Sus scrofa: one gene and its partner. The protein of the gene in region 1 interacts with the protein of each later gene in a pairwise test. Links are inferred from orthologs where the notes say so. Each region holds a gene or a part of one and is shown on either strand. Other genes may lie near its edges. The genes, in order: SNX15 and RTN4.

What was found.
Region 2: the proteins of SNX15 (region 1) and RTN4 interact in binary tests that used the Homo sapiens proteins (3 or more experiments, as listed by UniProt). The two-hybrid records come from large-scale screens. The link is inferred for Sus scrofa from reciprocal best matches to the Homo sapiens genes SNX15 and RTN4.

What each region holds. Positions count from the first base shown.
Region 1 is NC_010444.4:7,149,064-7,161,256, forward strand, and holds the start of SNX15 (sorting nexin-15), read right to left. Parts: upstream 6,141-12,193; 5' UTR 6,006-6,140; coding exon 5,907-6,005; intron 5,849-5,906; exon of another isoform or gene 5,058-5,848; intron 855-5,057; coding exon 819-854; intron 614-818; coding exon 493-613; intron 1-492. Other genes in the region: ARL2 (ADP-ribosylation factor-like protein 2), read right to left, coding at 9,227-9,361, 11,279-11,359. UniProt on the Homo sapiens protein: May be involved in several stages of intracellular trafficking. Overexpression of SNX15 disrupts the normal trafficking of proteins from the plasma membrane to recycling endosomes or the TGN.
Region 2 is NC_010445.4:86,209,272-86,221,559, reverse strand, and holds the start of RTN4 (reticulon-4), read right to left. Parts: upstream 5,726-12,288; 5' UTR 5,556-5,725; coding exon 5,522-5,555; intron 1-5,521. UniProt on the Homo sapiens protein: Required to induce the formation and stabilization of endoplasmic reticulum (ER) tubules. They regulate membrane morphogenesis in the ER by promoting tubular ER production.

The DNA of each region.
Region 1 (12,193 bases):
CAGGGATCGAACCCATGTCCTTGTGAGTAGGAGTCAGGTTCGTTACCACCGAGCCATGATGGGAACTCCTGCCGTCTTCTTTCAGTGTGAATTCGGCCCTTACAGAACATCTCGGTTTAGACGAACCACCTTTCTCGTGCTTCTCAGCCACGTGTGGTTCGTGGCCACTGTGTCTGGACAGCATAGGTCTAGAGGAAACTTTGCCACTTACAGGTCGAGCCCCTTCATCTCTGAGCCCGTATCCTCTCCTTGGACATGGAGCCCGTGAGGACAGAAATGGCAAAGGGTTTGGCACATGATAGGGGCAAGGCTCACAGCAGTTTCTCCATCTGTAAAATGAGGCCACCTCTACAGGCCCATCCAGCTGTCTGAAACATGGCACAACCAGGAGTGTCGGGCCCCCTCTCTCCAGTCCGCACCAGCAGGGGTCTCCTTTGGCCAACGCTCCCTCCTCCCTCCGTCTTTGGCTTGAATGCCTGGGTCGAGGCTCACCAAACACCTGGGCGCGGGGGAAGGCAGGGAACTCCTCTAGGCGGCGGAAGAGGTTGCGGTGGGTGTAGGCCAGGTCCCCATGCAGCTTCCGAAAGTCGCTGTACCGCTTCCAGACCACCACCTAAGAGGGACAGGTGTCCTGACCGGGCGGAGCAAGGGTGGGATTCGGCCTTTCCCACCCCAGCCCTGGGCTCTGTGTGCCTTATGGTGACACACCCAGCGTCAGGGAGGAAGGTGGGCTGCTTGCCTGGCAGAGCGACCCCCTGTTTCTTTACCGTTTCCAGATCTGGAATTGGGAAAAGGTCCCCTCCTCCCAGGAGCCTCACCTCTTTGACATCTTCCGGGTCCCTCTTTGAGATGAACTGAGGAAAAAAGGCAAGAACCAGGTGAGACCAGAGACAGACACCTGACACCCCATCACCTGTAAAAGCACAGGATGCCCTGGCTACCGCCCAGCCCCCTTCAGAGGGGCAGACCCTTTGACCGCAGGTATCAAGGTGTTCTGGCTTTGGAGTTCCCATGGTGGCGCAGTGGTTAACGAATCCGACTAGGAACCATGAGGTTTCGGGATCGATCCCTGGCCTTCCTCAGTGGGTTAAGGATCCGGCGTTGCCGTGAGCTGTGGTGCAGGTTGCAGATGCGGCTCGGATCCTGCGTTGCTGTGGCTCTGGTGTAGGCCGATGGCTACAGCTCCGACTGGACCCCTAGCCTGGGAACCTCCGTATGCCGCAGGAAGCAGCCCTCGAAAAGGCAAAAAGACAAAAAAAAAGGTGTTCTGGCTTTAAGGCTCTGAGCTTTTTTTTGACTTGAATATAATTTTATTTTAATTAGTGTCTCAAATGCACATCGTTTTATTTATTTATTTTATTTTAATTTTTTTGTCTTTTGTCTTTTCAGGGCCGCACTTGCAGCATATGGAGGTTCCCAGGCGAGGGGTCCAATCAGAGCTACAGCTGCCAGCCTCCGCCACAGCCACAGCAACACCAGATCTGAACCACGTCTGCGGCCTACACCCCAGCTCATGGCAACGCTGGATCCTTAACCCACTGAGCGAGGCCAGGGATTGAACCTGCAACCTCATGGTTCCTAATCGGATTCATTTCTGCTGTGCCATAAGGGGATCGCCATCAAATGCACATAGTTTTAAAAATCACATGAAGGGCTCTGAGCTTTAAACTTTGAGCAGTTTTTCCTCCATGCACCTCAGTTTCTTCATCTGTCAAAGGGTTACCAACCTGGCTCCCTGGACTCTGTAATCAATAGAAATTGATGAAGCCAGACGAGGAATTCAGGCAAGGCTGAATGCGGACCCATTTGCACCACCAGGGAGTGAAAACAAGTAACAGACACCCTTACTCGTGTTGCTCTCCCAGGAGGGCTGGCCGGTCCCTTAAATGGGATGAGGGTGGGGGCGGATTAGCAGAGGCGGCTGGAGGGGGGGCTTAGGTAGTCTGTCCACCCCCTTGTGGTGCTGTGTGTCCAGGGATCATGCTCAGGAACCCGCTGATTTTGCTCCTGGCACTTGGTTTGCGGCTTTTGTGTATCTTACTGTTCATGGCTGCCTCGACTGTGCATGCATGCAGTTATCCGTAGCCCCTACAAGCTTCTTTGCGTTCTCTGTCGAGGTGCAAATGCAAGCTCTTTAGTAAAGTTCCAGCCTCTCTCAAAATGGGAAGGTCCTTAAAGGTCTGTCTAGAGCCTCAGCCCTACCTTTTTTTTTTTTTTTGCTTTTTTTAGGGCCGCACCTGCGACACATGGAGATTCCCAGGCTAGGGGTCAAATTGGAGCTACAGCTGCCGGCCTACATCAGAGCCTCAACAACTCGGGATCCGAGCCGCATCTGCGACCTACACCACAGCTCATGGTAACACCAGATCCCCAACCCACTGAGCGAGGCCAGGGATCAAACCCAAAGCCTCATGCACGAGTCGGATTTGTTGCCGCTGCGCCATGAAGGGAGCTCCTCAGCCCAACTTTTATCTCAGTTCCTTCCAAGGGCCAAGTTCCTGCATCTCCTTCTGAAACCAAAGAACCCCAAGTTCTCTAAAGAATGAGTTTCTGTCCCAGGAGCCACCCCTTCCTTAAAGGAGGAAGCCTCGGTGGGCGAACACTCCTGGACACAGAAGAAACTGTCACTGGGGTTGGGACTCCTGAGTAGACTAGTGTCTGAGGTGGAAGATTCCATTTTCATTATATGCTCCTAACAGTTAAAAAATAACATCTTACAGCTCAAAGTAACTTTCACAGTTTTCACAACAACTCCTGTTCAGTATCTTAGATCCCAGGGAGGCAGACGCGATTAACAAGTCCTTTTAAAAGATGAGGAAATAGGAGTTTCCATTGCGGCACAGTGGGCTAAGAACCCGACTGCAGCGGCTCCAGGCAAGGGGCAGCGCAGGGAGTTAAGGATCTGGTGCTGCTGCACCTGCGGCCTAGATCGCAGCTGTGGCTCAATCCCTGACCAGGAAACTTGCACATGTCATGGGTGTGGCCAAAAAAAAAAAAAAATACCCCAAAACAAAACCTGATTAAATGGAAGCTCAGATGAGGGATGTGACCTGTCAGGGGGACTCCTACCCCTGAAACCCTGGCCTTTGCTGTTCACAACAGACTTCCCTAAAATAATATTGGTTAAAAAAAAACTATATTTAAAAACCAATGAGGGAAGTTCCCATTGTGGCTCGGCAGGTAACCAGCCCGACTAGTATCCGTGAGGATTCGGGTTCGATCCCTGCTCAGTGGGTTGGGGATCTGGCGTTGCCATAAGCTGTGGTGTAGGTCGAAGACGAGGCTCGGATCCCATGTTTCTGTTGCTGTGGCTGTGGTGTAGGCCTCCAGCTGCAGCTCTGATTCAACCCTAGCCTGGGAACTTCCATATGTCGTGGGTGAGGCCCTAAAAAGCAAAAAACAGAAAAACAATAAAACTCTGAGGGAGTTCCCTGGTGGCCTAGTGGGTTAAGGATCTAATGTTGTCACCGCTGTGATTCAGGTTTGATCCCTGGCCAGGGAACTTCTGCATGCCATGAGCATGGCCAAAAACCAACCAACCAACCAAACAAAAAACCCATTAAGGAATATATCCCTGACAAATGACTCCTACTCAGAATATAAAGAACTCCTACAAATCAATATTAAAAAGACAAACAACTGAACTTTACAAAATGGATAAAATACCTCAACAGGCACCTCCAACCAAAGAAGATTTTGAATGGCCAAAAAGATTTTGAAAATATACTCAACTTCAAAATTGTCACCAAAGTAATACTCCAGTGAAATATTACACACCCACCAAAAATGGTTAAAATTAAAGATGCTGGAGTTCCCACTGTAGGTCAGTGGGTTAAGAACCCAACTAGTATCCCTGAGGATGTGGGTTCAGTTCCTGGCCTCAATCAGTGGGTTTAAGGATCGAGCATTGCCATGAGCTATGGGCATAGATTGCAGATCTGGTGTTGCTGTGGCTGTGGCATTGCTGTGGCTGTGGTACAGGCTGGCAGCTGCAGCTCTGATTCAACCCCTGGCCAGAAACTTCCATATGCTGCAGATGCAGCTGTAAAAAGATCCCCCTCCCCCCCGCCAAAATGTTGATGATACCAGGTGCTGCTGAGAATGGGAATATAAAATGTTACAACTATTTTGGAAAACTGGCAATTATTGGGAAAGCTACACATATGCTCATCAAATGACCCAGCAATTCCCAGGGACTATCTTTTTTTCAATTCTTATTTATTTACTTATTATTGACGTAGTTGATTTACAATGCAAACACGTACATACATTTTCTTTTTCAGATTCTTTTCCATTATAGTTTATCACAAGATTATACAGTTCCTTGTGCTATATAGTAAGACCTTGTTGATTATCTATTTTATATATAATAGTTTGTATCTGCTAATCCCAAATTCCTAATTTATTACCCACCCTCCCCCTTTGGTAACCATAAATTTGTTTACTCTGAGTCCATTTTTGTTTTGTAAATAAGTTCACTTGCATCATTTTTTAGATTCCACATATAAGTGGTATCATATAACATTTGTCTTGGACTTTTTATTTGCATTTTTTAGGCATGAGAAAGACATAAAAGATTTGGGGAAAGCTCTTTTTTTTTTTTTTTTTTTTTTTTTCTTTTTGTCTTTTGTTGTTGTTGCTATTTCTTGGGCCGCTCCCGCGGCATATGGAGGTTCCCAGGCTAGGGGTTGAATCGGAGCTGTAGCCACCGGCCTACGCCAGAGCCACAGCAACGCGGGATCCGAGCCGCGTCTGCGACCTACACCACAGCTCACGGCAACTCCGGATCCTTAACCCACTGAGCAAGGGCAGGGACCGAACCCGCAACTTCATGGTTCCTAGTCGGATTCGTTAACCACTGCGCCACGATGGGAACTCCGGGAAAGCTCATTTTAAACATCTAGGATAGGATTCTGCATTTAAACCACTTTGAGGAACATTTAGGATAGAATTCTGCATTTAAACCACTTTCATGGCTCAGTGGTTAATGAATCCGACTAGGAACCCTGAGGTTGCAGGTTCGATGTGGCTGTGGTGTAGGTCGGCAGCTCCATCTCCAATTCGACCCCTAGCCTGGGAACCTCCATATGCCTCAGGAGCGGCCCTAGAAAAGGCAAAAAGACAAAACAACAACAAAAAACCCACTTTGAAAGTCTTTACGTTTTTGCTTCACTTTAATAGTTACTAATGCATCAGTTTAACCAGCCTACTGCAAAATTGTGAAAGTATATTAAAAAAATTTACAGTGAAAAATCTTTCCCAATTAGGTTTTGTATATGGCTCTACAGATATCGTTATATTGTTGCTATTTTAAATTTTCATGATTTCTTCCATGTCTCTCTATAATATATTTATAACGTTGGCACTGCTTCGTATGTCAACTTTAGTCTGTATATACTGACTTCTCGTTATGACTGTGAAGAGGAGACTTACTCCTTAATTTCTTTTGAACTGTATGAGCTTTTAGTCCTACACAAGCATTATTTTTTGAAAAATTAAAAGTAATTCAACTCCTTAGAGGGCTTTTATGTAAATATCAAACAAACCAATAGACAGAACTTACTCCAAGAGATTGGAGAACTAACCAATATTTGGGTTGAGCCAGAGTTTTCATATTAACTTAAAGAAATTAAGTTTGATTGCCAGACGCCGAGCGTAGGGAGTGGGCACCCACACCTCACCGGCTGGGTACTGCTGTCACGCCCTTTTAAGAGGGCAGCGCCCTTCTATGGCCCCACTCCTAGACGGCTAAAGAAGTAAACGAAGGCTCTTACCGCCACCGTCTCTTAAAGGGGAAATTCATTTCCAGCGTCTAAAATGGGAGCTTGCAGCAGCGTCTCGCCTTAAGGTAAAACACGGCCCCCTCTTGTTAAAAGGGTAAAAGTCCCCGCTGGGCCCCATCTCACCTGCGCGGTGACTTTGTACTCGGTGTAGCCCTTGGGGTGGGTCCGGGGGTCGGAGACTGTGTAGTGCCGCAGGAAGTCGTCCTTCGCCTGGCGGGACATGGCAAACGAGCTGGAGCGGAGCTGCCCGCCGCCCTCCGCCTCCTCCGCGCCGCCCCCGCCCCTCCAGGTCAGTCTCCACGAGCCAACGCCTCTCCTGGGCTTGCGCCCTTCATCCTTTTGCCCAGGGACCTGGTCGCAAGTGACAGTGCAGTTCTCGGCCGGGGCGCTCGGCCAAGGGAGCGTCTAAAAAGTTCTCGGTTGTTGGTGAAGCATGAACGAGACAATTTGAGAGTAAGCATTAGGATGGGTGGATAACTAGGTTTTGCCTAGACATGAGCCTACCCCATGTGAGCTGTAAACCCTCATCGCAGTCTCTCTAAATGACTTATTTCATCCATCCACCTGACTTTTACTGTATTCAATATATGCCAGACAGTGTCAAATTATTTCTCCCTCCCTAGGATTCACGAAATTCATGTTTTCTGGAAGGAGGGGGGGGGTGTTGAAACGATGGTGTCATGGGCTCTTACTGTCTGCATGAGTTTCCCTTAGCCCATGAGTTTCCCTTAGCCCATGAGTTTCCCTTGAGCCTCAGTTTCTCATCTCTAGAATGGGGAGGTTTATAATAGAATCTACTGCAGCAGATGTTTCTTTATCCTTTGGTGGCCTGTCCGGCATTCACCGCTGCCTCCTGCTGTTAGCATCTTAGCACCAGATCTTTGTTTGGAGGTGGTTCACTGGTGTGTGCAGCCCGTGGGCCTGGTAGCCCAGAATCCAAAGGTGGAGGCTGCTTTCCTTATCCCAGGTCCCAGGGCAGGGTGGTGGGCTCTCTCCTGAAGCCTTAAATCTTGAGTGAGGGACAGAATGCATGGCAAGGGGATTGAATTGTTCCCTGAGTACAGTGTTGGCTGTAGGTTTGGCTGTCCAGCCTTTTGGAGCACTCTGTTTTACAAGCCTAGATATCTGACTTCCATCAAGATGCTATGAGTTCCCAGTGTCCTTCCTCGAAAGGTTCTTTCTTTCTTCTTTTCTTTTTTTTTTTGCTTTTTTTTTTTTTTTTTGCTTTTTAGGGCCACACCCACAACATATGGAGGTTCCCAGGCTAGGGGTTGAATTGGAGCTATAGCTGCAGGCCTACATCACAGCCACAGCCACAGCAATGCCAGATGTGAGCTGTGTCTGCAACCTACACCACAGCTCACGGCAACGCTGGATCCTTAACCCACTGAGCGAGGCCAGGGATTGAACCCACAACCTCATGGCTCCTAGTCAGATTTGTTTCCGCCGCACCATGACGGGAACTCCCGGAGAAAATTTCTTTCTGTGGAAAGCAGTCGTAATTTGTATCTGGCAAACCATGCAAGACCCTGCCTGATGCTACCACCCCCAGGCTGTGAAGCTTAAATGAGGGAGCATGGGTACAGCGCTCATGGCCACTCTCTTTACTGGAACTCAGATGAGTGGGTGCTGTAACTCCAGAAAGAAACACAATGCAAACTCCCAAGTCAGACTCTTAAGATCATGGAAACAAGTTAGTTCTTTCTTTCTTCTTTTCTTTTTTTCCTTTTTTTTTTTTTTTTTTTTGCTTTTTAGGGCCACACCCACAACATATGGAGGTTCCCAGGCTAGGGGTCCAATCAGAGCTACATCTGCCTGCCTACGCCACAGCCACAGCAACACTGCATCCAAGCCGCCTCTGCGACCTACACCACTGCTCACAGCAACGCCAGATCCTTAACCCACTGAGCGAGACCAGGGATCAAACCTGCATCCTCATGGATGCTAGTCAGGTTCATTAAGCACTGAGCCACGACAGGGACTCCAGGGCAGGTGGTTCTATAGTTCCGCACTGGAAAGCTTATGTTCTAAGTTTGTCCGCTCAACACCTCCCTTCTTCCACCCTAACAGAGCCCAAATTTTGCATAGGCCCCTCCCCTTCAGGAAAGGGTCCTGGTTTAAGAGTAAATTGGTCATTCTTCCTCTTTTCCCTTGAGAAAACTGCCCTTCCCTCATAGACACATTAGGCTCCTTGCACCTGGCATTGAGTTTCGAGAAAAGAAACAAAAACTAAAACCAGCAGGGTTTAGTGGCTAAGCGTGCTGGGTCCAAATCCTGGGCCCTTGCTTCCTAGCTGAATAGGGTTTTTTTGTTTTTGTCTTTTTAGGGCCTACCTGTGGCATACAGAAGTTCCCAGGCTAGGGGTCCGATCAGAGCTGTAGCCCCTGGCCTACACCACAGCCACAGCCACGGCAGATCTGAGTTGCGTCTGTGACCTACATACACCACAGTTCACGGCAATGCATGGATCCTTAACCCAGTGAGGCCAGGGATGGAACCTGTGTCTCGTGGATGCTTGTCGGGTTCATTACCATTGAGCCACAGTGGGAACGCCCTAGGTGGATAGTTTTGGGTAAGTCACGTCTCCTCCCGGAGGCTCAGTTGCTTTATGAATGGGGACACTGAGAATCTGTCCTGTTTGGGGCTGTTCTTCAGTGTGATGGCAAGTGACAAATCTTCAGAGGGAACCCTGCAGAGAAAGCACCACTGGCAGGACCACAGCAGGGGGCCCTGTGAAAACTTCCATCTGCTCTGCCACCTGGATGGGGGTCCTGGGGTCCCCCTGGTTCCCATGCTCTCCCAGTCTGGTTCCTGCTTCAGAAATGCCCTTGAGCCTTGAGGGAAGGCCCCTTCGCAGCTCTGCTCTTCGTTAGCTTGCTCTACTTGATGCCTGCTCCTCCTTCCTGCATCGGAGTCCGTCCCCCCCGCTCCCCGCCTCCCTGCTCCCCCCTCACCCCGTCTCCCAGCAGCCCTGTCCTGCACTTTTCTAACTCTCTGCAGTCCCTTTCATACAGCGAGTTCACCTCGGACTGCAATTACCTTTTCTGTCCTCTGCTGGCCAATGAACTCCAGGCGGTCTCTAGGGTTGTTGAATCAACAAATGACTCAGCCAGGAATGGGGGCGAGGAACACTTTATTCTCACAGCTGAGCAAAAGACGAGGCCCACAGCCTTGACAGCAGCAGACGCAGCCCCCTCCCAGCCCCAGCCCTCTCTTCTTGGTATAGTTGCTGCTGCCGCAGGCCAAGTTAGGAGCCAGGGTGACAGCCAGGGCGGGAGCCGGCTGGCCCCGGAGCAGCAGTGGGCAGCAGTAGCAGCAGCAGGTTATGGAGTGGGGCAGGGGTGTTAGTGGGGCTGGCTGACTCCCATGCCCGCGTGGATGGTGCCTGGCGAGGGCCTGGTGGGGGCGCCTGGACCGTGAGGTGAGGGGGCATCTGGAGTGGCTCAGTCGGCCATGAAGATGCGGCTGGAGATGTCATCCAGGAGCCAGTCGATGCCAGGCAACAGGTTCTCCCCGGTGACGGCACTGCAGCCCTGGATGCACCAGTGGTGGCTGCGGATGGAGTCCAGCTCCAGGGCCTAGAAGGGAGGAAGGTGACAGAGGGCCCCGGTGTCCACAGGGCCCGACCCCCCTCAGCCCCTTTCCCCTCCTGGCCCAGGGGAAATCCACACCTCCCTCCAGGGCCTGCTGTGGGAGGCTTCCCCTGGCCCCTGGTGAAGATGTGTCACACACACCCCCGCACCCCGCTTCCGCTCCACCGTCCAGAGCACCTGAGCTCTCTGTACACGACAGCCAGACCAGCACGGCAACAAGGGCTCCCGATGTGGTGCTCTGGGCCCTACAGTATCCTCTCACCCATTCCCCCCCAAGGCCCCATGAGCCAGGGATTGTACTGGCCATTTTACTGAGGAGGAAACTTCAGAGAGGTTAAGCAACCTCCTAAAGTCACACAGCTAGTAAGTGGCAGAACCCAGTTTCTAACCCCACTCTTTCTCGTTCTAGCCTTCCAGTCTACAATCAGACTTAAGATGCACTCTGACAATGGGAGGTCCCAAGAAGGAACACGTGCTGCCAAATACTAACCAGGAGAATTTGGGAGGGGCCGAGAGAAGGAAGGAGGTGACCAACCTCCCAGGATCCTTGGCGCTGGAATCCATCTTGGCTGAGGGATGCATGTGCCACCAGAAAAGGACCCCAGCTCAGACCAAATTATGGGCCAAACAAGATGACTGGCCAGAGACAACCCAGACACTAACCTCATTACCATAAAACCTGAGGCTTTGAGCCACATGGCAGCAAATCCGATTCCCTTACCCTACTGTTCTCTGCCCAGGGAGCCTCTTCCCAATAAAGCTTTTTGCTTTGTCAAAAAAAAAAAAAAAAAAAAAGAGTTCCCATCCTGGTTCAGTGGCAACGAATCTGACTAGCATCCATGAGGATGCAGGTTCAATCTCTGGCCTCGCTCAGTGGGTTAAGGATCTGGTGTCACTATGAGCTGTGGTGTAGGTCGAAGGCTCGGCTCAGATCCTGAGTAGCTGTGGCTGTGGTGTAGACCAGCGGCTACAGCTCTGATTCGACCCCTAGCCTGGGAAAACTCCATATGCCACGGGTGCGGCCCTAAAAAGACAAAATATAAAAATAAAAAACAAATAGGAGTTCCCGTTGTGGCTCAGTGGTTAACAAATCTGACTAGGAGCCATGAGGTTGCGGGTTCGATCCCTGCCCTTGCTCAGTGGGTTAAGGATCTGGCGTTGCCGTGAGCTGTGGTGTAGGTTGCAGAGGTGGCTTGGATCGTGCGTTGCTGTGGTTGTGGCATAGGCCGGCGGCTACAGCTCCGATTAGACCCCTAGCCTGGGAACCTCCATATGCCGCAGAAGCAAAAAAAAAAAAAAAAGACAAAAATAAAAAACAAATAAAAGTGACTCAAAGACATTTAAAAAAAGTAAAGAGAGAGAGTTAAGATACAATCTGGAGTCACACCGGCCTGTGTTTAAATCCTGGCTTGTCTGCTTACCCTGTGACCCTGGGCCAGTTACCTTTCTAAGCCTGCCTCACTGTGTGTAGAATGATGTAATAGTTCCTACCTTGTGAGGTTGCTGTGCGAACTAAATGAGTTAATCCGTGCACAGCCTAGCACGTGGAAGCTACTGTTCCCTTGTGGAATAATCTATTTTCAGGTCTGCCTGCCCCTGGGCTGTGGGCTCAACTCTCTTACTAATCACTGACTCCCCAATACCCTGAGTAGGTCCTGCCACACGGCACGGCTAATACATGCTTATTCATTTATTTACTTATTTACTTATTGGCTGCACCTGTGGCATGTGGAAGTTCTCAGGACAGGGATCGAACCCACCCTCGCCATACCCATAACCAGAGTCACATCAGTGACAACGCTTGATCCTCAACCTGCTGAGCTGCCGGGGAACTCCCAACAAATGCTTCTTAAATTAACAAGGAAATGCATGCCCCTTCCTTCCTCCAAGGCCTGCACTCACCTCGCGAATCGCCTTAGAGGACAGTGCTCCGGGCAGGTCCTGCTTGTTGGCAAAGATGAGGAGGGTGGCACCAGCCAGGCGCTGGGGAAAGAGAAATAGAGGGGTGTGTGTGTGGGGGGGCTTCAGAGGGCAGCCTGGCCCCTCCACTGTTCACCCAGGGCAAGGTCCCATAGCAGTGGGAAAGACACAGGCGGGGTGGGGGTGGGGGAGATGGCCTTTGTGTCCAGCCATTTACGGGGTGGAGGGAGCCCCAGGCTGGGCTAGGCCCTTGGTTCCAGCCCAGTCACCACCCAGTGGGCACTGCTCTCCTCCGAGCCTCAGACCCTCTTCTGTAAACAGGGAGGGGGTGACGGACAGACGCTCCAGAGCCCTCCAGGTCTAGCCTGCTCCGCTCTGATGACCTGAGGTGCATGAAGAATGCGACTGTCCCAGGGGCTCTGGGGTCTGTTGGAAATGACCTTCCCTCTTCCAAGTTCACACAGCTCTCCAAACGGTCCCATTACCCTGACAAGCCTCACTCTCTGCCTGTGATTCCAGTTATTTCCATATGTGTTTGGACTGGGAGTCCCTCCACATGGGTGGTGGATACAGCCTTAAAAAGAGCCTCGAGGAGTTGCCATTGTGGCTCAGTGGGTTAAGAACCCGACTAGGATCCATGAGGATGCGCGTTAGATCCCTGGCCTCCCGCAGTGGGTGAAGGATCCGGGGTTGCTGCAAGCTGTGGCATCAGTCGAGAAGGCGCCTCGGATCCTGCGTGGCGTAGGCTGGCAACTGCAACGCTGATTCGACCCCTAGCCTGGGAACTTCCATATGCTGCAGGTGTAGCCAGAAGAAAAAAAAAAAAAAAAGAAAAGAAAAGAAAAAGGGCCTCGGGGTCCCTGAGCATTGGACAGCCAGGATCTCACTGGACCTGCT
Region 2 (12,288 bases), on another chromosome or scaffold:
TTAATTGCTCCTTTAAGAAGGGGTAAGGCAGGGAATCCCTTTTATTTACCCCGTTTGAAAAAACAATCTTTAAAAATTTCCAAGAATGGATGTATATAAAGCTAAGGAGAAAACCTGGCTGAACATCAAAGTTCCTATTCTCTTACTTTGTTGAAAAGCTGTGCAGAGTCAATGAGAAGACACAGTGATGAAGCCACCACTGTTTCTGCCTTCAATATGTACATATTATATATAATATATAATAAATATAAAGTAATATAAGCCACAAAATAAAAGCAAGAGATGGACGTTCTGAGGAACACTGGATTATGTCCACCTGGGAGGATTAGTGAATACTTCAGGAAAGACTGGGCCTTTGATGACTTGACTAAAATGAAATGGGAAGAAGGAATTTAGACAGAAAAACACAAGCAAATGCAAAGAACAGGCATGTTGAGCGAAAAAGTCCTTCAATGTGGCTGAAGACAAAGTAATGATAGGATTATCAAGGCTAGAACTAGACCACAGAATGCCTTCTCAAAGTCCAGGATAGATACTAGGAACTTAATTTGAAAAGTAAAGAAAAAGCCCTTAAGTGGTATACTTAGAGCCATACTTTAATAAGATTAATTTGGCTTGACACATAAGATTTAGCAAAAAAACAGAAGTTCCTTAGGAATATCCTTAGGAATATCCAGATGTGGGTAAATGAAGAAAAGAGAGGATGTTTCCATTGCTCCCATTACTATCCATCAAGACTTTAAACCATATATAGGACAAAACAATTGCAAATTTACTCTTTCAAATTAAATGTGGTTCTCATCAAATAATTTACTTAAAATTGACAAAATAGCTATCTCACAAAGAGTTAAAACCATCAGAAATGCGTATGTTGTATATAATCTTGGCCAAGGTCTCAGGACAGATTTTCCTAATACATTGCTCAAAATAATTTGTATCTTTCTGGAGGGAAGTTTTGCAACATGAACCAACAACCTAAATACTATAATTCTGCAATTTGGAAATAATCATGAATAAAAACAATAATTTACATTCAATTATATTCATTTTAGCATTGTTCATACTTGCAAAAACTTTAGGAATAGCTTGAATACTTAACTACATGGGATTAGCAGTATGTATTTAGACTATTATACCCATTAAAACAATGTAGAGTATTTTTTAAGTGAAAGTACTTCCCCATTTAGTGGGAAAAAAAAGATTACAGAACAAAATGTACCACATGTACCCCCTTGCAACACATGCACACACCATTAGAAATGTACACCAAAACCACTCTGTGAAATGAGTTTTATTCTTCCATAGACCTTCACAATTTTCTACCACACACACACACAGACACGCATACACAAAGTTTTGAGCTACTAAACCAAAATCTAGAAGAAATACCTAATGAACGACTAAACATTGGATTTCAACTAAGTTTAGAACTGAAACACAGGATCTTCCTCCAATCAATGGGTCTTGCAATTGATTAATGCCCCAGGTCCCTTCTCTGGAATTTTTTGGGGTGTTTTTTTTTTTTTTTTTTTTTTTTTGGTTTTTTGGTTTGTTTGGTTGGTTGGGTTTTGGGAGGCATTCACAGGGATTAAGTAAGGCAATTACTTCAAGCAGCAAGACCTCTGCTTCTCTCTTCCTGAATGGTAGTGTGAGTATGCACCTGTACCCATGTAACCTTAAGCTTTGAAAGAAACTACAAGTGACTTAGCAAAGGTAGAGGTCAAGGAGCCCTACAAGAACTTCTTCATGAAGTATGCTCCAGAAGTGGTACAAAGCCAGTCTGCCTCACCGTATACTCAAACTGAATTTAAATGCTAGAAACATTTCTGTCCCCAACCTACAGACTTTTCTCAAAGGTCAACTACAGCATGTTAACTGCCAAATCCCAAAAGCATTAATAATAATGGGCAGTGCTAGAGGTCCCTGGTGGCCTAGCAATTAAGGATTCAGCATTGTCACTGATATGGCTTGAATTCAAACCCTAGTCTGGGAACTTCTGCATTCTGTGAGTGTGGCCAAAAAATAAATATTTATTTATTTTATTTTATCATTAAATTAAAATCTCCTTTTTAAAAATGTGGGCAGTGTTGCACATATTCTTAAACTTCAACAGGGTCCACAATCATTTCTCAGTCTTCATATTTAACTACTTCTCTGTAGTATTTGACCACTCTTCCCTTTTTGAAAATAGGGAACCAGCACTATCCTTCTTTCCCTGCTCTGACTATAACTTCCTGTTCCTGCATGTCCCTACAATGTAGGTTTTAGGCTTTCTGTCCTTAAATTCCATTCTCTATGAAATATCCTTGCAGTATTCATGTCTCACCTTGCATTCAATTCCCCATTTTTCATTCATCATTAAACCTGCCGTTTCTATGAGCTTCAGAGACATTCTATCACTTCAAATTTGAAGGTTCCAAAACAGAACTTGGCATTATTACTACCTACCTTAGCTCTATTTCGACTAATAATAAAGTACTAGCATTGCCAAGGTTTCACTCTGACTGAAATTTCATGTTGTCCTTTGAGTCCCTCCCTCACCCTAGCCCCACAAATCTATGTCAAATGTCAAGTACTCCTCTCTTAAATTCTCAAATCTGTCATTTCCTTTTCAGGCCAAGTTCAGGCACTATTTGCTTTTAAACCTGGGCACAAATACGGCCATCCTATTCTCCTTCTAAGTGCCTCTGCAATTTATCTTACACAACACCCTAAAACAGTCTTTTAAATCTCCTATCATTTTATCACTCCGTACTTTAATGGAAGAGCCTATTTCCAAAGGCTCTTTATTTCCTTTATAATAAAATCCAAAACCCAATGACTTCTGCAATCTGGTTCAGGGTATCTTTTTAAAAACCAGAAAACATCAAAACGGGAGCTTCAGAAATCACGCAAAAGAGGAAACTGAAGACCAAAAAGGGTAAGTCTCTTACTCAGACCAAAATCAAATTAAACTAGAAAAAAGAAACTTAAACACTTAAATTTGCCTGATTATAACATGAATTACAACAGGGTGCTGAATACAGTGCCACATTCTTCCCCTGTAAATTCTGATTTGGTAGATCTGAAGAGGATCACAGCAATCCATATTTTTAAAAAGCACTAGGTGAGTCTCATCTTCAAAGAAGTTTGATGAAACCTAACCTAGATCTTGCAAATCTTCTATACTCTTAGATCATATCAACTTATCTTTCAACTACTATCCTATAAAGATTCTTTTCTACCCAAAAAGCTGTATTCACTGTCTCAAAAATACCTTGTTTAGTGGTTACATCATTCTCCCCCGACCCAAATGCCTAAACCTATCATTCCTTTCTATTTTAAGTGCTTCAAAAATCTTTTGACCTGTCTTAATCAATGCTTCCCATATAACCCAAAAAATCAAGTATGACATAGATTTAATTTGTTTTTAATATCCTGCTAACAACAACAGGAAATTCAAGAAGAAAAATATGTAAAAGAATATCAATTATTAATGTTGGTCTTAGCCTGAAAGATAAATGCTTTAAATACTAGCCATTCGGCCAAAAACAACCCAATGTTTAAAAAACACTGAAATCAGAGTATCTCTCACTTCTTTTATACCTTCATATGCTACCATCATCAGATGACTGAATGTGTTTCTACCATGGCACTTAGAGGGTAGAGGGGTGGTAAAGAAAGCAGCAGGGAAAAAAAAAATGGCCTTAAGTTTTTTTGTTTTGTTTTTTAATATACCTAGAGAGCTTAGATTAGATACTTTCCTCTATTGTTACACTTTTCATAAAACGAGAAAAAACTCATTCCATGGCAGCTTCAGCTTCTCACTGATTTCCATTTATGCTGTAATCTATAATCTACAACATTAAAATTAGCTGCTGATAAAGAGAATACTAAAATAAACCTTAACCAATGAATCAGAAAGAGTCTTTCCAAGCAAAAAAAGCCAAAGACAAGCATTAAAAAAAAAAAAAAAAAAATCAAGCCACTTCACTTACAAAGTGAGCCTCCCCAGAGATATTTAAGAGTAAATTTGATTTTATATTTAGTATCTAAAAATAATCAAAATAAATCTTTGGTATAATATGCACTATACTGGATCTTAATTTCTCCAGTCTCAAAATATCCTTAAATTAGTTGAGTACATAAAGAATTTAAGATGTTATTAAATGGACTAAGGTTCAAATTACAAATACAGAGCCTAAAAAGTTGCAGAATAGGCCCAGATGTGACTTTTCGCCTATTTTTTAAAGCCTATATTCCCTGTATTGTTAGCACTACTATCATTTTTACTAATCAAAAACTAGTGTAGCAATTCACCTTTCACTTTGTAATGCTAATGGTCAGAAAGATGAAGAAATAAAAATCCTTCTCTTCATTAAATTCACACATAAAAAACCATAGAGATAAAAATCCAAAGACGTATTATTTTCTGTTCTTTAAATTGTAACTATAAAAGCTTTCCAATGTCTCAATATGAACAAGATTAAGCTCATGTTTTCCCCACAATACTTTATTGAACAAATTTTTAAAAGAATACTGTAAAGGTTACTGTAATTAGCTCCACAGATTGCTTTTAGAAACATTATCACCAACCCTGCTAAAATTCTGCTATAGAAATAAATAATGTTTTAAATTATAAAACTTGAACATGGCCAAAAAAAAAAAAACTGCTTGTGTGGAATGTCTAGTTGGACTACTTAAAAATAGCTCTAATAATTTTTAAGACAATTTATTGTAACGCCAGGTATACAGTCTACTACCTTCCCTTTTTCTTAAAATGGCACATTTAACCACTGACATAATAAAATATTTTTTAAATATTCATTACACTTATGCGCTTAAATTCTTACACAATCCCGATCCACTGAGACTTGAAAGGATCTGGGCTTTCAAGGGGGAGGAAAAGGGATCAAGATCACTGATTGGTTATTACAAGGACAAGGGTTAGTGACTTAAATATAGACACACATTTAAAACTACCATGTATACATTTTAACCATTTTAAGATATACAAAATTATAATCTAATTAAAAGGCCACTGGTAGTAACTTCAAAGATTTAATAATAAGATTTCCAAAGAAGAAAACGAGCTTATTGTAAATGCAAGATCTTGCTACCTACAGACCTTTGGATAGAATTTCAACCATTCCGAGAGTCAGCTTTTTAAAAAAATAGTCACAGAAAATATGTCATTATGAAATACAAAGATGGAAATGTAGATTCATCACACCAAAGTGACCAACAAATGAAATATGTTAAAACTAAACAGTTTACAATGTGCAATATTAAAGAATAGAACCTAATCAAAGATCGGAATGCAGAGACTAAATCAAATGCCAGTGAAACAGAACAGCATGACATTTTCTCATACATAACCAAATGCAAAAACATTTGAAATAGCTCTTTTAACTCTTTACTCTTAAACCTTCCACAGGCTTCATTTGCAATCCAAAATATATCTAAATGGCAAAGCTTATTCATAGAAATATTTTGTTGGTTACATAAAAAAAACTGAATAAAGGTTAAAAAGCAGATATACCCTTGTCCTTCCAATTTTTCTTCTGACCGTCCATCTCTTGTCACGATCTGCCCTCCAGATGCAATTATCAATTATGCATACCAACAGAAAAGCTGTAACTGCAAAAATCTACCCCCTGAGACATGAAATATGTTTCCTCAACCGAAGTCTGCAGTCTCCTCTGCTGCACAACTGCAGTCACCTGACGCCTTCTGGGTGTGGAGCAGTCTGACGCAGTGCAATCTGTAACTAGGCTACTAATACTCAGGCACTACCGCCTTCTATCTGTTTATTGTTCTAGTCTTTTGCTTGTTGCTCAGACCAAACAAAGCTACTTTTGCAGGGGGAGGGGCAAGCTACCAAAAGAAAGAAAAGGGGGTTGTTCTGGCAGAGTTAAGCATTGTATATACTTGAAATACACTTCAAGCCATGTGCAGTTTTTTTTTTGTTTTTTTTTTTTGACAGGGGAATTTACTGATGGTTTTCAGCTTCATTTAAAACTTTAAAATCAATAGTTACCTGATAAGATAAAAATGGACTGATCCAAAGAAGGGTAATAACTTAAATTTCAAGTCTGGTAAATGCTGAGTCTCTTACTTGCTTCTAAATAATCAGCATTTTGCACCCTTATAAGGAAGGGCATGACAGGAGAATCATGAAGTCAAATTATTAATATTTATTGAATATATGTTAAATTTCAATAGAAAAAAATTATATTCAATTTTAGCAGTTGAATACATATTTCTAACGTAATATTATTTTTTTCTTCTGTTACAACTATGGAAATCCAGAGACTTGCAAATATATACTTATTCTTATCACCTGCTCCAACTCAATCTTTCAATAAATATCTATTAGACACCACTGCAGGTACTATTAATAGACTTGGCTTGAGGAGAAATATTCATGTGCTAATTATATCATTTGCTTTGGGAAAAGGATATAATAACAAGCTAAAATTTTACTGATAAATACAAAGACAAATCCATAAAGAATTCCTGAAATTTTTGTTCAAATTTATGAAACTGGCATTCATTCCAGTGCAAAATATTAAGTCTTTACTAATGTTTCACAACTGGTTTAACTGATGGTTTACTGGTTTAATCATTAATCATTAAGCAGAAACATATAATGACAAATCAGCGAAAATATCTTCAAATGTGCGATATATTGAAGTATCATAAGATATGCAGCCTAAGGACGAAAGTACATACTTCGTAAGACTATACAGGTACACTTGAAATAGGTATAGTATTTTTTGGAACTTCCCATAAAACTGTGTAGGCTGCAAAACTCTGCAAAATCCTTCATATCAGAAGCAGCCTGAATATCAAGGGACTCAGTTCTTTGCCTCTATGCCTAAATGCAAACATAAATAAAGCGGAGCAATTTTTAAAGAGCGTCTAGTATTCTCAGTTCAAAAGTTAATATTTAACTTTATTCACTGAACCCCTGCAAAATGTGGTATTTGAGAACACTGTCACCAACTCATATCATGGCTGAGAATGTCTGGCCTCTCCATGCAACAGTTAGAAATCCCAAACTAGGCAGTAAATACATAATATTTCCAAAACAGTATTTCCTAATAATGAATCCCTTAAGGCTGAAGGCCAATAAATACTTTAGCATTAGAATAACACACTCAAAAACAGCACCCAAACACTGTTTTCAAATCAGAGATTACTACACTAATAAAAGGGGGGTGGGAGGAGATTTCTTGAAGCAAAGGTATTACCATTCATGTTATTCACATTTTCTGGTACTGGACTAGGTTCAATAATTTTTAAAAATCATCTGAGCGAATAAGAATGTGTAAATTCATTTACCTAAACACTAAATATACTTAATAGCTCCCCTGGCAGATTAAAAAGTCAAACTAGGAGCCCTGAAATTTAATCTTATATATAGCAATATCTAATTTTTTTAATTTTTATCATCTTGGGAATTCAGGCTATTATATTAAGTTACAGGGAAAATTAGCTAAGATAAATCAATTGACATTTTGCCCATTTCTTTCCTAGAAAGTTTTAAAACTAAAGTTGTTTTAAGCTTGGTAATCTAAGAGAAATGTGGTTAAATTTGAAAATCTTGATGAGACAAATGTGCTAAAAAGGTAAAGTCATCGGGCTAGGCTTATTGTACTAGGAGGAGCAAATAAATGACTTAGTGTATGCAAAAGACCTTAGGACAGTGCCCTACAAAAAGTGACCCTGTGCGCTAGCTGTTTACTAGTAAACTACAAGGAGACAAAGTCTGTAAAACACATATAAGAAAGTGCATATATTATGCCATTCAGTCTAGGCAATAACACAATAACCTCTCTGAACAGAAGAACCCCTCTACACACACACAAACTATGGTGCCAGGCTATCTGGTTCCATTCTCCCCCAGCTGAGAAAAATTTATCTTTGGATAGTTTATAGGTCCTATTTCATATCAAATCTCAATAGGCAAACAATGAACACAAATCTGTTTTTTAAAAAACCCTCCATTTATTTTGTTTTCCTTCAAGTATTTAACATTTTGTTTAATGAATGAAAAATTATTCCAAGGATTATTTCCAAACAGAGCAGATACATACCTAGTTGATTATTTTGGATAAGGAACCTATTTTCCTCCCTTAAAAGTAAAGGCTTCCAAAGGGGGGGACCACAGAAGATCCCTTCATTTACAATGCGAGCAAATAAAAGTGCTATTTGAATTCTAAGTCCTACTGTGTATTATGTATAGGGGGTAGGAGGAGGGTTATCCTTCTTCTCCTGAACTCAAAATCAGCCTAACAGAGAACTTCTGAAATAAAATTTCAGAGTTCATGATTGGCAACTTCCCATTCCTTCATGTCCACATAACCCAGTACCTCCCCTAGCATGTCAAAACCCAACACCCCAAACCTCCTCAAGCATATCCCTAATTCCTTTCCAAAAGGCTATCAGGCTCTAAAACTACATACACTTTATGTTTCTCTTCTCTCATATCTCAAATCAAAACTCTCATTTTCTTAGTGCACCTTATCTCATTAGCGGGAAAATTATATGATTAAGTCTTTCAAAGGAATAAATTCCTTTCTCTATAATGCTCTCATAAATACTGGGGAGGGGTGCAGAGGCTTATATCTCAGTGGCAGGATCTCAGACAGTGGAAGACTGTTTTTGGAATAGACAGCAATATGAAAGCTGTAAGACCGCCCAGCTCAACTCTCCCAAGATATCCCTCCTTTATCATTTCATTCCTTCCTCTAATTCTGAACCCCAGAGAAACTCAGGTTTTTGTCTTGCTTTGTTTGCTTTTCAATGTTAAGAGATCAAGGGAAATAAGTGAGAGAGAAGTGGTCATTCGGACTGAAAGTGCTACTCTCTAAATTGGGGGTTGCTTGTATACAACTATTGATAGCTAATACTTCTCCTTTCTGGCAATAGATAATAGAATTTTAAATATATATATATATATATGCACACACACATAAATATTACATATATATACACTATTTTTAAACTTATTTTAAAATTTATATTATTCAGAGCTATACAAAAGCATGAAACTAAACATATATCTCATTACCAAAAGATATTAATGCTGTTTAACACCATACGCTGTAATATAATGCCCTCTATGGACTAAATTATAGCACTTCAACATTAACTACTGAATTGAACCTTAAGACATGAATTAAGACTTTAGTCTAGAAAATGAGTAAGTTAAAATAAAAATAATGAGCATTTTATGGTCTATAAAAAATTTCATATAAGCTGCTGAAAATGAACACTAAAAACCATACAGAAACTGAAAGTGATCCTATTCAATGAGAACTAAGTAAATGACTTCTTGTATTATTATTTAAAATAAATATACAGATATTCCAAAAGATCCAAAGCACTTTTAAACTTGGAGTTAAAAAAAACTTAATAGTCATTAGGTTCTGAACAGATCTGTTAAAACTTTTTAAGTTTTCATTAAAGTTCCTATTTGGGGGAATGTCTGAGGTCCTTTCATGTTTACAGCAGCATGATTCCATTTGTTTGACTTAATACAATGTGTCAAGATTCAAAATACTTTTATAAAGGCATTTTCAAAGTTATTTCTTAGTTTGAAGCAAACATCCACAGCTCATTAAATTTCTTTGCCCAACTGAATTTCCACACAGTCAATTATAGAGGATGCCATAGACCTTGTTTCTATGTACAACACTAGATGGCACCAACACCATATATAGTTGGTGTTGTATAGTTGGCTGTCCAACCCAAAGCATGCAATCTGGCAAAAACTATTCTCAATTTTCTGGCTTTTTTAGGATTGTTGCCTGTTACTAGGGTACTAGATCAGAGTGTGATGGGAATAGGAAAACAGCTCCCCTGGTACTAGGGTACTAGATCAGTGTGTGATGGGAATAGGAAAACAACTCCACCACCAAAAGGGCATGTGGAATTAAAATGATCTCTGACCAGAATTCAAAATCAATTTTGAACAGATCACAATTAAATGTAAAAATCAAACTATGAATTAGTAAAAAAAAAAAAAAAAAAAAAGTATGTTTCCCATGTGAAAATTGAAAATGTCCACTAAAATGTAAAGTAAAATAAAAATTACTTAGAAAACTAAAGGAAAACAGTAGTATGAAAAGAATTTGCATCCACCGTATGTAAAGAACTCTCCTAAACTCAGAATGAGGTGAACTTATAAATTTTAAAATGGGCAAAGGGTATGAACAGGCAATTTGCAAAAGAAATACAAACAGCCAATAAACATATGAAACGTGTTCACCTTCACTAATAATCAAAGATCAAAACAGAAAGATATTTCTTTAACCTATCAAACTGGTAAAGGTAAAAAAAAAAAAAAAAAAGCCAGGTACAAACTGCCTGGAAGGATACACTAGAAGTTCTAGGAGGTGACTGTAGGAAGGAGATGAGGGAGCTAGCAAGACAGGAAGACTTGCTATAATTGTACTTTCTGAACTCTGTATAATGTGTAATTCATTAGCTTTCAAAAGAAGTTATTAATTGTTGGTGATTAACAGAGAATTGGATTTTTTTTCTTATGCCATGAGGAAGGATACAAATGAGTACAAGTTTTCTGATGTTTGCCAATTTCTGTCAAAACTCTTAAAAATGCTCATATTCATTCACCTAGGATTCTATTTCTAGCAATTTATGGAAAAGAATAATTCAGAGATATGTGAAACATATAGAGAGGTTATTTATCAATAAAAAATGCTGAAAACAATCTAAGGGCCCTAGTGAACTGACTGGATAAATTATAATAATCCAATACCAAAGAACACTAAAGCATTAAATAATCATGCAGCAAAAGAATAAAGACAGGGAAATACTGTCATATTTACTGCTAAATTTTTTAAAACTATAAGCAATATGAAAAGTATAATCCCAGTCTTGAAAAACACTTTTTTCACTGCATTCATAAGGTATACATATGCATGGAAAATAGACTAGAATAATAAATATATTCTAAAATATTAGCAATGATTATGTCTGGGCAAAACAATTATAAATTTTTTCAATGTTTTTCTCTATTTCTCAAATTTGTACAAAGAACATTATTTCAGATTGCTTCAAGTACTGCTGCCCTGACTTCAGTGAAAGTTAGCAGGTCCTTCAGAGAAATTTTGACTAATAAATTTTTTTGGCCACGTCTATGCATGTGAAAGTTCCCCGACCTTGGATGGAACCCACACCAAAGCAGTGACTAACAACACTGGATCATTAACCCACTGCCCACAAGATAACTCCTTTGACTACTAAATTTAATTGAAGCTAAATATATTAAAACATTTGCCCAGGGTCATATGGCTAATCAGTGATAAAACCAGGCCTAGAACTTAGGTCCATAAGAGATGCCCAAAATGAAGTTGCAGCAATGCATCTTTTACGGTACTTATTTCCTATTTATTTTCAATCTGTATTGGACCCACAATAAGCACCACATAAAAACAAACTAGGAGTTCAGTCATGGCACAGAGGAAATGAATCCAACTAGGAACCATGCGATTGCGGTTCGATCCCTGGCCTTGCTCAGTGGATTAAGGATCGGGCACTGCCATGAGCTGTGGTGTAGGTCACAGATGTGGCTCAGATTTGACATTGCTGTGGCATAGGCTGGCAGCTGTAGCTCCAATTAGACCCCTAGCCTGGGAACCTCCATGTGCCGCAACTGCGGCCCTAAAAAGACAGAAAGACCAAAAAAAACCAACTAATTCAACAATGTCAGTGTTTAAGTAAATATAATCAATGTTTTATTAATAAGACAGTTTCTAAAGAAAATCATGGACTTGGAAAATGGACTTGTGGCTGCCTGATGGGAGAGGAGGGAGTGGGAGGGATTGCAAGCTTGGGCTTATCAGACACAACTGAGAATAGATTTACAAGGAGATCCTGCTGAGTAGCATTGAGAACTATGTCTAAATACTCATATTGCAACAGAACAAAGGGTGGGGGAAAAATGTATACATGTAAGGATAACTTGATCCCCTTGCTGTACAGTGGGAAAAAAAAATTTTTTTTAAATAAATTTCAATTATAAAAAAAAAGACAGTTTCTAATTTAGCTACATTGTACATTTACTAAAAGCTTTCCAGTTAAATATATTTCTACTCAATGTGTTAATAAACATTTTCATTTTTTTAGAGTACTTAAATTTCTACTTTTATCAGATTAACTGCTCACTGTCCTAATCGAAGTTCATAAAAAATCAAAAAGCACCCCAAATATGTTCACTAAAATTTATTTTAACAAAAATCTGCTATCTGTAATGCTTTACTGTGAAAAAAACAAAGG